4 linked regions of the Macaca mulatta genome follow. The protein of the gene in region 2 purifies or fractionates together with the protein of the main gene of each other region. This does not show direct contact. Links are inferred from orthologs where the notes say so. Each region holds a gene or a part of one and is shown on either strand. Other genes may lie near its edges. The genes, in order: ASF1B, NASP, ASF1A and HAT1.

The links.
Region 1: the proteins of NASP (region 2) and ASF1B purify together in Homo sapiens (affinity purification with mass spectrometry; 5 studies listed by BioGRID and IntAct, counting the BioPlex papers as one, with this or other methods). This does not show direct contact. The link is inferred for Macaca mulatta from reciprocal best matches to the Homo sapiens genes NASP and ASF1B.
Region 3: the proteins of NASP (region 2) and ASF1A purify together in Homo sapiens (affinity purification with mass spectrometry; 6 studies listed by BioGRID and IntAct, counting the BioPlex papers as one, with this or other methods). This does not show direct contact. The link is inferred for Macaca mulatta from reciprocal best matches to the Homo sapiens genes NASP and ASF1A.
Region 4: the proteins of NASP (region 2) and HAT1 purify together in Homo sapiens (affinity purification with mass spectrometry; 3 studies listed by BioGRID and IntAct, with this or other methods). This does not show direct contact. The link is inferred for Macaca mulatta from reciprocal best matches to the Homo sapiens genes NASP and HAT1.

Annotation. Positions count from the first base shown.
Region 1 is NC_133424.1:14,721,855-14,726,203, forward strand, and holds the start of ASF1B (histone chaperone ASF1B), read right to left. Parts: upstream 2,826-4,349; 5' UTR 2,213-2,825; coding exon 2,104-2,212; exon of another isoform or gene 2,004-2,103; intron 761-2,003; exon of another isoform or gene 1-760. UniProt on the Homo sapiens protein: Histone chaperone that facilitates histone deposition and histone exchange and removal during nucleosome assembly and disassembly. Cooperates with chromatin assembly factor 1 (CAF-1) to promote replication-dependent chromatin assembly.
Region 2 is NC_133406.1:194,999,416-195,002,978, reverse strand, and holds part of NASP (nuclear autoantigenic sperm protein), read left to right. Parts: coding exon 1-280; exon of another isoform or gene 281-406; intron 407-3,563. UniProt on the Homo sapiens protein: Component of the histone chaperone network. Binds and stabilizes histone H3-H4 not bound to chromatin to maintain a soluble reservoir and modulate degradation by chaperone-mediated autophagy.
Region 3 is NC_133409.1:23,859,218-23,863,352, forward strand, and holds the start of ASF1A (histone chaperone ASF1A), read left to right. Parts: upstream 1-1,300; 5' UTR 1,301-1,640; coding exon 1,641-1,749; intron 1,750-4,135. UniProt on the Homo sapiens protein: Histone chaperone that facilitates histone deposition and histone exchange and removal during nucleosome assembly and disassembly.
Region 4 is NC_133417.1:76,881,739-76,885,301, forward strand, and holds part of HAT1 (histone acetyltransferase type B catalytic subunit), read left to right. Parts: intron 1-1,875; coding exon 1,876-2,055; intron 2,056-2,324; coding exon 2,325-2,446; intron 2,447-2,946; coding exon 2,947-3,051; intron 3,052-3,379; coding exon 3,380-3,486; intron 3,487-3,563. UniProt on the Homo sapiens protein: Histone acetyltransferase that plays a role in different biological processes including cell cycle progression, glucose metabolism, histone production or DNA damage repair. Coordinates histone production and acetylation via H4 promoter binding.

The sequences.
Region 1 (4,349 bases), on a different chromosome or scaffold from region 2:
TTACTTCCTTCCATTTCCTCCTGGCTTTTAAATTAAATCTTATTCCACAGTGTCATTCTACACTTTATTTATTTATTTACACGCTGCCCTGTTCCAGAAAGGATTTAACTCGGCTTATTCTATAGTTAGCCACAAGTAGACTGCTTAATTTAAAAAGGAGCAAGACAGACCGGGGAGAGAGAGACCCACTGGCCTACCCGAAGCACATCCACATCTCACTCTATCAGCCCCAAGCTAGTCCAGGTGACCAGCTTTGAGGGCCAAACACCCACCTGCCCCCGAAAGGCACTAGTTAGCACATCCTGGCTTCACAGGCCCCCAGATCGCTACCTCCTCGGCTACTGCCTTTTCTCTTTTAACCACCAAGTAGAAAAATGGCCTAATGGAGTACTTCTTTCTGAAAGCAGGACTTGCATTTTAGTGGTGCCAAGGCTCCCTGGGTGACCTTAGATTTTGGATTTGTACAGGCCTTGACTTGAAAGGTCTTTTGCGCTTTGTGGCTCCTGTCTTCTCATCTGTGAGATGAGAGCCATGTCCACCTTTAAGTCACACAGATTAACAAGTACATCTGCAGAAGCACCTTGGAAAAGATGTACAGGAGGCTGTGACCTCCGGGCTCCAGGTGACTGTTTGAAGCTGGAGCCTGTCACAGCTCAGCCCAACCCACTCACCCTCCAGACTAGGTCAGACCATCAAAAGCAATGGAAGCTTGGCACTGATTATCCAGCTATATTAAAAAAAAAAAAGAAAAAAAAAAAAGACCGGGCGCGGTGGCTCACGCCTGTAATCCCAGCACTTTGGGAAACCAAGGTGGGTGGATCACTTGAGATCAGGACTTCGAGACCAGCCTGGCTAATGTGGTGAAACCCTGCCTCCAACTAAAAATACTAAAATTAACCGGGCATGGTGACAGGTGCTGGTAGTCCCAGCTACTCGGGAGGCTGAGGCAGGAGAATTGCTGAGATCGTGCCACTGCATTTCAGCCTGGGCAACAGAGCAAGAGTCTGTCTCAAAAAAAAAAAAAAAGAAAAAAGAAAAAAAAGAAGAAAGAAAAAGCGAGGGAAGAACTGCTGTAGTAACTCAGTTGGAAATGGGTGGGCAAACCTGGAGAAGCAGCTAATACCTGCCTGGCTATGCCAGCCCTCAGATCTCAGTGTGTTTATCCAAGTCCACAGAAGAGGGTGGGGAAGGGGAGCTGGGGAGACCAAGTTCCCCTCAAAGACGGTAGCATCCTTTCCCAGGGGGAGCTCAAGCATAGCAGGGGTTGGGCCCCAACGAAGGAGGAACCAGGTTCCAGGGTATGTGCAATGGCAGAAAAGCAACAGCAACTGGTGCGGGTGGGGTTGTTGAAATATTGGCAGGTTGGGGAGGGGATTGGTGGGAGACAAATGGGAAGATGGGGGCGAGGGCGGTCCTGAAAAGGGGTTGAGGGGTTTTCACAGCGAAAAACGGTTACTGGTGGGGAGCGTCTTCACGGTGAGGAGGGAAAGGAGCTTGCGTGAGAGATCTCCATAGGGAAAATAGCAGATGGCTAGGATTTCCCCCGGGGAAAATGGGAAGGGGCTGGACATTCGGAGTCTCCAGAGGGAAAATGGGAGGTGTGAGTATCTCACTAAAGAGGGAATAAGTGGGCAAAAATGGGTGGGTGGCTAAAGCGCGGGTCTTGCCACAGGGAAATCACGGTGGCTGAAGATCTCCGTGGCTTAAGAAATGGAGGCCAAGAAGATCTCTCCATGAAAACGGGTACCTAGGAAGACCTCCAGATTAAAAAGATGGATGAGGTTTCCCACGCGGGAAGTGGGGCTTGACTGGGGTTAATCTTTATGGGGAGGTCGGGGCGGGCAGTGGGGGAAGAGGTCACGGGGAGGTCCGAGTTAGCTAGCTGGGGGTCTCCACCCGGGAGGTCAAGGCGGGCAGTGGGAGAGGAGGTCACGGGGAGGTCCGAGTTGGCTGATGGCGGGGAGTCTCCACCCGGAGATCGGGATTGGCGGAAAGGGGACGAGGGGTTTCATGGGGGAGATCAAGTTGGCCATGGGAGCGCTTCTCCAAGGGGAGGCCGGGGTCGGCCCGGGGGTGGGGGTCCCCGCACGGGCCCAGCCTCACCGTCCGCCAGGGCTTCACTGCACTCGAAGCTGATCTCGAACCGGAAGGGGCTGTGGAAAGGGCTCGGGTTCTCCAGGACCGCCACGTTCAGCACCGACACCTTGGCCATCGCCTCGCCTCGCCTCGCCTCGCCGCGCCGCGCCGCGCCGCAGCAGGGGCAGGGGCAGGGGCAGGGCTGTGGCTGTGGCGGAGGCCGCGCCTGGGTCCGGTGAGTGGGGGGGCGTCAGTGGGGTACGGCAGACCAAGTCCACTCCCGCCTCTTCCCTCCGCGGACTGAAGTGCGCACCTAAACCGCGGACCGCCTTCAAATAGCCGGCCTCCGCCCTCTGGCCAATCACCGCCAACGCTCCCCTGGCGGCGCGCGCACCCCCTCAGCCAATCCTGGAGCGCCAGTCGGCGCGCGCCCAGACTCCCCGGACCAATCAGCGGAGCTCCCTCTCCGCGGCGTGTGAGGAGGGCGAAACCATCTCCAGGCTTCTTAGCGTGTCCGCTGGGAACCAATCCCCAGCGTCTCCGACTCGGATGTCAACGGCGGGAGTGGACGGAGTCAGAGCGCCGGACTCCTTCTGCCCAATCCTGAGGGTTCCCGCACCGGCGTAGCCCGCCCCTCGCCTCGCTTTTCCGGGAGCTGCATCCCGCACCGCGCAGCGCCGCCAACCGCCGAGCGGTGGCGCGCGGCGCTCGCTAAAGAAGGCGGGAAGGGCGGTGCTCGCACCCTCAGTGATTGGCAGGAGGGAGTGGGGCGGAGATAAAGAGGGTTTTCTGAGAGTTGATTGGCTGGATTGGTAATAGTGCCGGGAGCAGAATGAGGCTCAGCTGGGGATTCGCTGGAGAGAAGCGGAAGTCGAGCGCCGCCGCGGTGCTGGCGAGTGTGAAAAAAGAGGAGGAGGGTTGCGCCCTCAGCGTCTGTCAACAGGTGAGCGTAGTCTGGAGCTTTTCTGAGTGGCTCCTGACCCTTGAGGTCCAGCGGCCCTGGAGTCCGTTGTGAACGTTGCGAACGTTCGGAGTGGCGGTCACGCGGCGCGCTGGGACCTCGGGAGTCCAGCCCGGTTCGGATCCCGCTTTCGCCCACGAGGGGTTCGAATCCCGCTCTCGCCCCCGAGGGGTTTGGATCCCGCTCTCGCCCCCTCAAGGGCTCTTGGAAGGTTTCAAGCAGACGGTACTGAAAATGGGAGTTTCAGTTCGGGGGCAGACCAGTGTTCGAGTCCGGGCTCTGCTACTCAGCTCCTGAGGCAGCGTCTCTCCATTCAACGGGGGCAGTGGCAATTCCCTGACATGATTCATGACCGCACAATACATCCGGAAACTTCTCTCCGCCGCATCCCGTCGCCCCCGGCCTGGGAGACTCCAGGTCGCAGAGTCTCTGCCCCCACGGGCGATCAGCTCTACCCAGTGGAAAAATAATGCCAGCCGCGCACCTAATTTTACATTTTTTGGAAACCACTTTTTTTTTCTTTGAGACGGAATCTCGCTCTGTCACCCAGGCTGGAGTGCAATAGCGCGATCTCGGCTCACTGCAACCTCCACCTCCCGGGTTCAAGCGATTCTCCTGCCTCAGCCTCCTGAGTATCTGGGATTACAGGTGACCACCACCACAACCAGCTAAATTTTTTTCTGTATTTTTAGTAGAGACCGGGTTTCACCTTGTTGGCCAGGCTGGTCTCAAACGCCTGATCTCAAGTGATCCGCCCGCCTTGATCTTCCAGAGTGCTGGGTTTACAGGCATGAGCCACTGTACCCAGCCATATCTTTTTTTTTTTAATTTAAGATTTACTTTTTTTTTTTTTTTTTTGAGACGGAGTCTCGCTCTGTCGCCCGGGCTGGAGTGCAGTGGCCGGATCTCAGCTCACTGCAAGTTCCGCCTCCCGGGTTTACGCCATTCTCCTGCCTCAGCCTCCCGAGTAGCTGGGACTACAGGCGCCCGCCCCTGCGCCCGGCTAATTTTTTCTATTTTTAGTAGAGACGGGGTTTCACCATGGTCTCGATCTCCTGACCTTGTGATCTGCCCACCTCGGCCTCCCAAAGTGCTGGGATTACAGGCGTGAGCCACCACGCCCGGCCTAGTTTTTTTTTTTTTGTATTTTTTAGTAGAGACGGGGTTTCACCGTGTTAGCCAGGATGGTCTCGATCTCCTGACCTCGTGATCCGCCCGTCTCAGCCTCCCAAAGTGCTGGGATTACAGGCTTGAGCCACCGCGCCCGGCCAAGATTTACTTTTTTTTAAAAAAATTAAATTTTAGAGGCTGG
Region 2 (3,563 bases):
CCGTCAGCTGTAGGAGATCAGACCCCTATTGAACCACAGACTTCTATAGAAAGACTGACAGAAACAAAAGATGGCTCAGGACTAGAGGAGAAGGTCAGGGCAAAGCTGGTTCCTAGTCAGGAGGAGACTAAGCTGTCTGTAGAAGAGTCTGAGGCAGCTGGAGATGGGGTTGATACCAAGGTAGCCCAGGGAGCTACTGAGAAATCAACTGAAGACAAAGTTCAGATAGCTGCTAATGAAGAGACACAAGAGAGAGAAGAACAGATGAAAGAGGGTGAAGGTAACCGGGATATGCAAGAGCTGCAGTGGGTGGAGTACATTCTGGATTTGACTCACTAATTATGGGTAAAAGTCAGCCTTCCATTCAGGATTTTCCGTCTGCCTTTGGATTAGGAAAGGGCTAAATGCAAAGGGGGGTAGTTTAACAAGGTTGTGCTAGTCAAGTAAGTTAAATCAAAAGCAGCAAGTGTTCTTTAGTTGGCTTATAAACTAACATTTTTACTAACTGCAAAATAGGCCTTCTTTGTGATTTCTGAGACTTGGCTAGCTATCAGTAACTTGTTGCATCATACTAGCCAATAAAGTGGGATGGAAAAGGTAGATGAGGGGTGGGGTAGGTAGGGAAATAGTGGGCTAGTAGGCTGGCAGAGAATGCTGAATGGATGTTCACTTGCATGCCTCTGGATTTTAAAATTTATTGTTCACATGACTCCTTTTCTGTGTGTTAGGAAGCAGGAACAGAGCAGTAGAATCCACTGAATTGGTACACTGAAGCAGGCATGCCATTTAAATGAAGATAGTTAACCTTGACTGTTGTATCACCAGAGTTAAAGAACTCTGGTGCTCCTCTCTACCTTTAAGTCTTCAGGAAGTGTTTAGAGGCTTATTCACATTAGTTAAAACAGGCCCCCCACCACCTTCCCCAAGGCAACAAAAAACAGAACGCATTAGCTCTCTTGCTGCTTTCCTTCCTCATTTCATGCTTGCTTCGGCTGCTAAACTGAACTTTTTGTTACTTAGAATATTATAAAGCGTGGATGCTTTCTATAATGCTATTGGTCTAATTGTGATTAAATTTCATTAAGATGTATAAGCCTCTAATTACTACATAACTGGCAAGTCTGACTTTTGCTATCATTTGAGGATTCTACTGTATATAAGGTTCATCTAACATTGGCATTAATAACCACAGGTATATTCCAACTAATGGTTACTTCTTGTAATTGCCAGACTACTTCGAGTTCTCTTCAGTTTTAGATTTTCAGAGACCCATCTTCAATACTTTGAGCTCATTCTTGTAAACTTCCTTCCACTATGTGCAGGTCCCTGTACTCCAGCCAGCACAGGCTCAGTAACTGGAAATGAATTGGCTAAAATGGTAGCACCATTGGGTTTCTTTTCTTTATGGAAAAAAGCACAGAACTAAATTCCTAAAAAAAACAAACAAACAAACAAAAAAAACACCAAAACCCAAAACAAAACTCCCATGTCTTGATCTTAATGATTGTGAGCAAGCTCTGCTGACTGGCTCCTAAGACCTTGAATGGTAAGCTACGATAGATATGTCATAGTAGGATCATAATTAACATTGTTAGAGCTCTCTCACATATATTACATCTGATCCTAAAACAATACTATGTGGTAGGTAGTAGTGCCCAAGTTATAGTGATGAGGTTGAAGTTTAAAGGTTACATGACTTGTTTAGGGGTCATAGTACTGAATCCAAACCAAGATCTGCCTTGAATATATTATTCTTCCCAAGTTACCACACATCAAAGAAGACAGTGTTCATCCCTTTCCTACACTCAGTTAGAAATTTTGTTGTGGGCTGGGTGCAGTGGCTCACGCCTGTAATCCCAGCACTTTGGGAGACTGAGGTGGGCGGATCACCTGGTCAGGAGTTTGAGACCAGCCTGGCCAGTATGGTGAAACTCCGACTCTATTAAAAATACAAAAGTTAGCCGGACATGGTGGCATGTGCCTGTGGTCCCAGCTACTCAGGAGGCTGAACGAGAAGAATGGCTTGAACCCGGGAGGCAGAGGTTGCAGTGAGCCGAGATCATGCCACTGCACTCCAGCCTGGGCAACACAGCAAGTCTCTGTCTCAAAAAAAAAAAAAAAACAAAAAAAAAACACCAAAAAGAAATTTTGTCACTTATTTTAAAAATTAACTATATTTGAAAAGCCCCAGGCTTTTCATATGCTGCATCTTTTGGTGTTGTATATCAAGTATTGTTCTGCTTGTAAAGACAATACAGTTTTCCGTACTTTACAAAAGAAGAAATGGGAGAAAGAGGTTTAAGTAATTTACCCTAGTCACACAGTAAGGAGAAGGCTGGGTACCCAAACTTCTGGCTCGAGTACTCAACCACTTTCTGTGTTTTATTTTCCTTTATGTGGCAGCACCATTCTGCAGAAATCTTCCAAGCAGTTTTTTCACTTAAAAATTAAAACCCTATTTACTGCCACCTCTTGACTCTTTGCCATGTGTTGGACTGTACATTTCCTTCTAATAAAGATAATTGGCCTGTTCCTTTTCTTTTTGAATCGGGTCTTGCTCTTTTGCCAGGCTGGAGTGCAGTGGCATGACAGTCATGGCTCACTATAGCCTCAAACTCCTATGCCGAAGCCATCCTCCTGCCTCAGCCTCTCAGGCAGCTGAGACTGCAGGTGTGCACCACCACGCCCAGCTGGGGTGCAATGGTGCAATCTCAGCTAACTGCAACCTCCACCCCCCAGGTTCAAGCATTTCTCCTACCTCAGCCTCCCGAGTAGCTGGGACCACAGACACATGTCCCCAGGCCTGACTAATTTTTTTGTATTTTTAGTAGAGATGGAATTTCACCGTGTTGACCAGGTTGGTCTCGAACTCCTGACCTCAGGTGATCCACTAGCCTCAGCCTCCCAGAGCGCTGGGATTACAGGTGTAAACCATAGCACCTGGCCCACCATACACCATTATCTTTTCTTTTTTTTCTTTTTCTTTTTCCTTTCTTTTTTTTTTTTTTTTGAGACAGAGTCTCGCTCTGTAGCCCAGGCTGGAGTGCAGTGGCCGGATCTCAGCTCACTGCAAGCTCTGCCTCCCGGGTTTATGCCATTCTCCTGCCTCAGCCTCCCGAGTAGCTGGGACTACAGGCACCCGCCACCTCGCCCGGCTAGTTTTTTTTTTTTGTATTTCTTAGTAGAGACGGGGTTTCACCATGTTAGCTAGGATGGTCTCGATCTCCTGACCTCATGATCCGCCCGTCTCGGCCTCCCAAAGTGCTGGGATTACAGGCTTGAGCCACCGCGCCCGGCCCACCATTATCTTTTCATATCCAAATTTCCAAGTGGGTCTGGGCTTAGTTCCCCAAAGTTAGACCAGATGGGTGGTTTTATTAACTCCGCCCATCCTCTAGCAGAATACACAGAAAAGCTGAAGTAGATTTACATATTTAGGATAATTGACAGAAAAGTAAATACTTCATCTTCCCAATGTGTAGGAAAAATTAAATTGATATTGTTATCTTCTATTCCTATCTGGTATCTCTTCCTACTCATACCAGAACGCTAGAAGACAACCT
Region 3 (4,135 bases), on a different chromosome or scaffold from region 2:
AAGGGAACTCTTCCCCACTCTAACTGGTCTTCCTAAATGTAGGAGGGGCTGACATTAGCTGTCTCACATTAACTTTCAAAAGACCATCAGATGAAAACGTTTCATCAAAAGCCACCTACTTAAGTATGAACAATGCCCAAAGAATGACAAATCAACATTCTGGGCACTATCCTAAGAGAAAACTCTTCCAGAGCAGATACTTCAGAATTAATTTTCTCTCTGAATTTGGCCAAGTTTGGTGGTTTCATTCACAACATTTAAGGAAAAAAGTGACGGTTTATGGATAGCAGGTAATAAAAACAAATCTTTATACCACTTACTAGTAATAGAAACGGTTTAGGCTCACAAATGTGTTAAAGCTTTCTCTTTCCCCGCAATGGTAGTCAAACAGCATAAACGAATCAACATTTCCTCAGTTCAGATCTCAACTGGTTACAGGCAAGCAAGGGCTCCTCAGAATTTGCTTTACTAATGGTTTAGGTCAGAAATTTTTTTGAAGATCAAATGTCTTGCTATGTCTTCGTGTTCTTTTCCCCATCTCTATTATGTGTGTTGCCCTGTTGGTCTCCTGACACTTCCATTTTCTCCTTTTATGTTCCTGCTATGCTCTCCCAATGGCAGTAACCTAGGGTATAACTGATCACACCTCTTGTGATTTTTTTCTTATTCTAGGACTTTCCAGATCTGGACTCCGAAGAAGACGCCCAGGTGTAAGCCCAAAGGTTACCTATTTAAATTTTCCAAGCACAGTGTGTGGAAAATCATTCCTCGCCCTTCATTTTGTGTTGCTTAACGGCGCTGTCGTGCCTAAACGTAGATACTGGCCAAGAGCTAGATTTCCAAAATGGCTTTGCTCCTTTCGAGCTGACATCGGTCTATAACATGCAATTTATTTCCCCTGCAGGCAATCTTTTTCTCTACTCCAACTACTACCCGATACACAGAAAGCTGAACCTAACCCAGTGTAAACACCGATTCTCATCTGCTAAATTCAGCAAGGCCGGCAAAGCTGTTGCAATGATGTAAAAAGAGCGTTAAAAAATTAAAAAAAAAAAAAAAAACACAAAAAACCACAAAAAAACAAAAAACGCCAAAACACCCACACGAAGCCAACCGGAGGGGCGGGCGTCGGCCGAATCGCGCCCTCCCGCCGCGGCCACGCCTCCCCGCCGCGGCCACGCCCCCGCCGCCCCTCTCCGCGCCGCCGCCGGCGGCCTCCGCGCGGGCCTCCCAGCCCTTATTCCACTCACTTTGTTCTCCGCCTTTGTCCTAATCCACACCAGCAGGTGGAGCCGCAGTTAAAGTTTCCGAGTCCATTCCGGGAGCGGGAGCCCATCTTGCTGGCTGCCGAGGCCCTCGCTGGAGGAGGAGGGTCAGAGCTCGGGTGCAGCCAATCGAGGGCAACGCTGCTACTTATCAGAGCAGAATGGGCTGTAGTTTAGTGAAATAGGAAAGCTGCAAAACACTGTGGAGTGCTCCCGTGTAAATAAAAAGAGGAAAAAAAAAGTTTCTCAAGTCGCCGCTGCACAACGTCGGGCCGGCGCTGGGGCGGGGGTCTGCGCTCTCCCGAGCGGCCGCGCGCTGGACTTTATTGTGCCGCAACCAGCCCCAGTTCCCATTGTTTGTGTTTTTTTCAAAATATGGCAAAGGTTCAGGTGAACAATGTAGTGGTGCTGGATAACCCTTCTCCTTTCTACAACCCGTTCCAGTTCGAGATCACCTTCGAGTGCATCGAGGACCTGTCTGAAGGTGAGTGCGGCGCCCGTGCGCCCGGGCTGTCAGTTGCGGGCTGCAGACGTTGAAAGTTTCCCGGGCCCGGCCTCGCGCTGGGCGGCTGTGTTCGGCGCCTGGCGGCCGCGGGCTGCTCTGCGGAGGGAAACTTCAAGTTGATGGTCGACGGCCGCCGAGGCGCGCGCGGCTTTCCGCCGCAGCCCAGGCGCCTGCCGGGCTCAACTTGCGAGGAACTTGTTTGAGCGGAGGAAGCCATGTTGTCAGCTTTGTCTGCGGGCGGGCAGCTCGGAGACCCGCACTCGCGCCCGCGGCGCCTCCTGGGGTCGCGCCGGGCTGGCTTAGCGCCGCCAACAGCTTCCGCGACCCTCCGGGCCCGGGCACGGAGGCTGGGAAGGGAGAGGCTGTGCGTGTGGTCGCGCCGGCGAGTTCGGAGCGGAGCCATCTTACCCCAGTCGAGAATTGGGCCAGCGACCCCGGCGCACGGCGCCTCTTCTTGCCCCTTCGCCCGCCTGCCCCCGGCGAAAGGGAGGCAGTAACTCTCGAGAGCTCACGGTGGAGTCGCCGCACTCTCCGGGCTGGCCATGCCTGGCCGCTTCGGGGAGGAGAGCGAGGCTGTCCTCGCGCTGATTTCTGGCTTCCTCGACCAACCAGCGGGGGAGGCGGGCGCAGGCTCGGCCCCTCCGCGCCGCGGGCTGGGCGCCGGCACTCCCCGGGGGCCGCGGGTCCTGTTCGGCCGGTCCTCTTCGGCCGGTGCCCGGGATGCGCCGGGATGCTGGCGCGCAGGCTCCCCAACCAACGTGGACTCCTTTCCCCTAATGACGAAAAGCTAATCTCAGGAAGAGAGAGAGAGCTGAGCTAGGAAGTTACATTTAACCTAAGAGCAGAAATAAGATACTTAAATAATTTCCAGGACTTAATCTCTGCCTTCTAAATAGTCTGAAAGAAGACTTTCTTCAAGAGCGTGTTGAAATGTAAAATAACTCCACATCCAGATGCAGAACACACCCTAAACATAAAACACAAACGTAGGCTAGGAAATTAAGGTAAACAACTCATGTCAGTCCAAGAATTCCTGGTATTTTTTCTACATATATTTTAAGGTCTTAAAAATACGTATTCTTAATATGTTTAGTAATAAATATTTAGAAAGCTAAAACAACAATTATCTTTGCTTTAATTATATTTTACTAAAGTAATTCAGTACTTCATTTGCCAGTTTTGAAGGGGAAATAGTTTAACTTCATCGATGAGGGGCATACTTCTTTGAACTAGAAGTGTATTTTTAAAATGCTCTGAAGATGATTTGGCTAATCGTGGCATGTAAAACTTTTCATTTTAAAAACTAGTTTTTAATCTCTAAAATGTATGTATCATATGTAAGGTTAATTTTAATTATAAAACAATATATATCATTGTAATAAACTTTTAGAAAGTTGTACAGGCATATATAAAGTTAACAGTTCTCTGTACTCAATGCCTTCCCCTATCTCCTTTAGGTAATCACAATTACTACTTTAACATGTGCCCCTCTGTGGGGTTTTTTTTTTTTTTTTTTTTTTTTTTGGTAAACCTATATAGAGTATAAATGCACATACATATATAGGGCAAATTTTGAAAGATGATTCATTTATTAAAATAATTTCAAATAGGCCATTGATAACACTTAGGGGTATTTTTCTTATTACTCTGAAGTCATCTGTATGATACTACTATTAATATAAGCATTGCAGCTACCAGGCCCATTTTTCACACCCAACAGTCAGTAATTTTTTTTTTTTTTTATTGCCAACTGCATATAAAAATAGACAAAAGAAAAACCATTGATCGGTCCATTCCAACTTACACCACAGTGTTTTTCAAGTATACCACCAGAAGTTCTTCAAATTACAGGTATTTCTCAAGTGATGCCTTCCATTTTAGGAGTCAGCTCTGAACAAAGAAGATAGATGACTCAGGATGTCGTTACAGGGCTTTTACATTGCATAGATGAAACCAGCCATTCATAAAGCCAAAACAGGTTCCATTTTTAACTGGGATCCATTCAGAACCCAGCTGAATCACATCAGGGTTTTACAGTACTGGTATCAAAAATATACTTATTTCCAATGGTATATTTCACTTCCTAGGCACCATTACTGAGCATTTATTTAGTATTTTAAAAAATATTTTAAGCTGAGTCATACTGAAGCTGCAAAGGAATCTTTCAAAAAGGTGCCATGCCTGTATACTCCACCTAGAGGCTATGTGGATTAAGGAAATTGAGTTTACTTAGCAAAGGCTTCTTATAGGTTCCATACTTTTATATTATAGTTCTTTTAAAAATTCTGTTCTTAAACTATAGAATTTTTTTTTTTTTTTAAATGAGACAGTCTGGCTCTGGCACTCAGGCTGGATGGAGTGCAGT
Region 4 (3,563 bases), on a different chromosome or scaffold from region 2:
GTAGATTTGATGCAAGATATGTAAAATGATTTGTAATGCCTTCTTGAGAAGACAGGACATAAGGAAAGTTTTTAAAAGTTAAAATTATACATGCTATGAAAGTCTTAAAGTGATTTTTAAACTGATAGATTATAAATCTCTTTTTAAAAGTAGTTTTCCTTGACTTTTTAAAAACCTTAACTAACATTATGCTATACTGTTTTACTCATCACTACTTTGGATTTTAATTGCTACACAGCATACCTATTACAGCTATCCCTCATTATGACAGTTTCCTTGATAGTGGTTGAAATTGTACTGATTCTATAAAATATGCTTAAGATGGCCTCTTCACGTTAGCAATTGCAAGGAAAAATATTTATCAAATAGTACTTTAAAAATAAACAAAAACGGTCCTATGAAATGCAGTTTATTTGATCTCGAGTGTGAATGAGTTGTAAGGACTGATGTACATATTAGAAATAAACTGTTGGGCAAAATGCTGAAGAGCTATATTTTCAATAATAGGTCTTTTTTTATAGCTATAAACAAATTATATATACATGTTGGTGGTACCAGAGCATTGAAAATAAAACTTGTTTGTGATAAACGTCATCCCTGGTTCTCTATCCTAAAATGTAACTGAATCATAATAAAGTGCTATTCATCTGCAGGTGCATTGCCTCTACTTAGTTAAAAGATGGTTGAAAGGACAGGAATTAGTAGCATGTTGTATTAGCCTTTTGTAGTGTATTTTGTCCTAAGCATCTTAATTTCCCTGTTTTGAATGCTAAGTAGCAAGGGTCTTGGTTTAGAACTAATACCCATCATGCATGTAAACGGTATGAAAGAGCTGCTTAGTAAGTTAACACAAAGTGTTCTTGTGTCAGTCCTTGTGGAAATAGATACAATACAAACATTACAGCTGAACTCACGGCAAACTCCATTAAGTAAAAACCTGGCCTCATTGTTCAGGAAAAAGTTTGAATAGAATACAAGCTCATTTTGTTGAATGTAATGTCAGGCTTTTAGGGACTGTATTGAGGGATAAGGTTTTGTTAAGTTGAGACCAATTCATTAAGTTTTATTGCCTGGTGAGAAGCAGCAATACTTTATTGTAAGACTTCATCAAATATTCATGGTTAAAGAGAAGTAGTAAATGTATTCAATCAAGTGGTCTTTTGGGATTTTGAAAAGGATTATGAAGTCTGCTCAGCTGATAACATTGATAGAGGTTGTTAAGGGTAATTTTAATCTCCAAGTTTAGTTTTGTTGTCCAGTCTTGTCTCTTTTTTACTGTCACAAATCCAGGTCTCTAAGAATTGTGTCACATTCTAAGGATGAAAGAATGATATATGCATTCATATAATTTATGTTATTTCCTAAATAGGTATATTTTAAAATTATCATCTTAGTTTGAGTTTGGCATATGAGGGAATTGTGACCCATCTAGTTGTGAGATTGCTATTCATTTGGTCTGACTCTAGCCTCATCTCACTACCTCTGGTGATCTTTTCATGTCTTGGATAATATGATTTCTTTGACACATATAAAATAATAAGCAGCCTTTTGCCTTGGCCAGTTCAGACTGTCATGAAGGGGTATAGTCAGCATTTTCTACATAACAGAAACGTCCATAGCATTGCCCTTATTATTGTACTTGGTATCAGATTACCTGCCTTCTCTTATTTACTTTTATGTTATGCTTATCTCAGTTTTGTGTGATGTAGTTTGTGCACAGGAAGCTCATCCTTTTCCAGTTCACTGTGTGTTTACTTCTTTAGTTTTCAACCAAAATTTTATAATTTGTGTTGGTTTTGTCAGTTTTAAAGAAAGTAACCATATTCAACTTAAAGTTGAATTTGTTATTGATTTTTTATATCCTTTATTTTTTAGGCAGATGATGTTGAGGGCAAAATTAGACAAATCATTCCACCTGGATTTTGCACAAACACAAATGATTTCCTTTCTTTACTGGAAAAAGAAGTTGATTTCAAGCCATTCGGAACCTTACTTCATACCTACTCAGTTCTCAGTCCAACAGGAGGAGAAAACTTTACCTTTCAGATATATAAGGTAAAGATAAATCTAAATATTTATTGAGTAAAGTTCTTTTTGCCTGAAACCTGTATGTAGTTTTGTTGTCAGTGATTTATTCTAACTGCAGTAAACAAGTTTTAATCAGCATTATAAACAAAGATCTATTTTGTGTGTATGTCTGTGTCTGTGTCCACATCTTAATCTGAGACTTCTAAACATTTTCCCACAGGATAATTTTGTGTTCTGCAGACTTTCACTTACCTTTGTGATGAGTTTCACCTGACTTTTCCTGGCTTTTTCCCTAGGCCGACATGACATGTAGAGGCTTTCGAGAGTATCATGAAAGGCTTCAGACCTTTTTGATGTGGTTTATTGAAACTGCTAGCTTTATTGACGTGGATGATGAAAGATGGCACTACTTTCTAGTGTAAGTACAGTTCTAAAGCAACAGTAGACCTTATTACCTCCACAAAGCCAGCATTTTAATTGTGGCAGCCCAATTATTGGGACAGTATAATGATATTTTTCCCAGGAAAGAAAAACTATTGTTTATGAGGCTTGAGTTTTCCTTCATTATGCTTTGGGAGACCTTGAGAATAGAGCTGAATTAAATGCTGTTGTCCGTTAGGGCCCTGAATGTAGGCTTAAACAGTAAAATGAGCTTTGCCTGTGTTTTCTTTTACTTGCCACCTATTCATCTTTATAATAGGCAAGTGCACTGAAGTGATGTAAAGAGGTCTGATTTATCCAAGTTGCTGCACACCAATTAAGTGAATTGTACATTCAGAACATAGCAGGTGTACCCATTGGGCCCTCACAGAGTAGCTTGCTGACACTGAAAATTCAGTCAGAGAATGGAAAAGAAAATGGACACTGCATGGGAGCGCGACTGTAATTGACCTGCTTGGCTTTCTGTTTTATCTGCAGATTTGAGAAGTATAATAAGGATGGAGCTACGCTTTTTGCGACCGTAGGCTACATGACAGTCTATAATTACTATGTGTACCCAGACAAAACCCGGCCACGTGTAAGGTAATTGGCAGTATAACACGTGCCTTGTCTTTTATTTCAGCAGAAGGAACTGCTGAAGTTTCCAATACTTGTTATAATAGTGTTGATTTGTTTAAAAAAAAAATCACTATTATTCATGGACTATGTACTGATTTATTTCATTGTTCCCTTTGAAACAGTGTAGAAGATTAAACTAATTTTGAGTATCCTGATAATTTTTGGGTATCTCAAAGGTGGATTGAAAAAAGATCACACAAACTTTAAAGTGTTTGTAATACTATAGTGATTTGCAAGTTTTAAACTGGTCATGTTATGATATTTTAATTTTAAAATAATTTCTTTACTGTAGTCAGATGCTGATTTTGACTCCATTTCAAGGTCAAGGCCATGGTGCTCAGCTTCTTGAAACAGTTCATAGATACTACACTGAATTTCCTACAGTTCTTGATATTACAGGTATGTAAAATTTGATTTGTTACTGAAAGAGCCTTTCTAAAAAATGTCTCCTTACTGATTGATTGTATTTTTGTCAG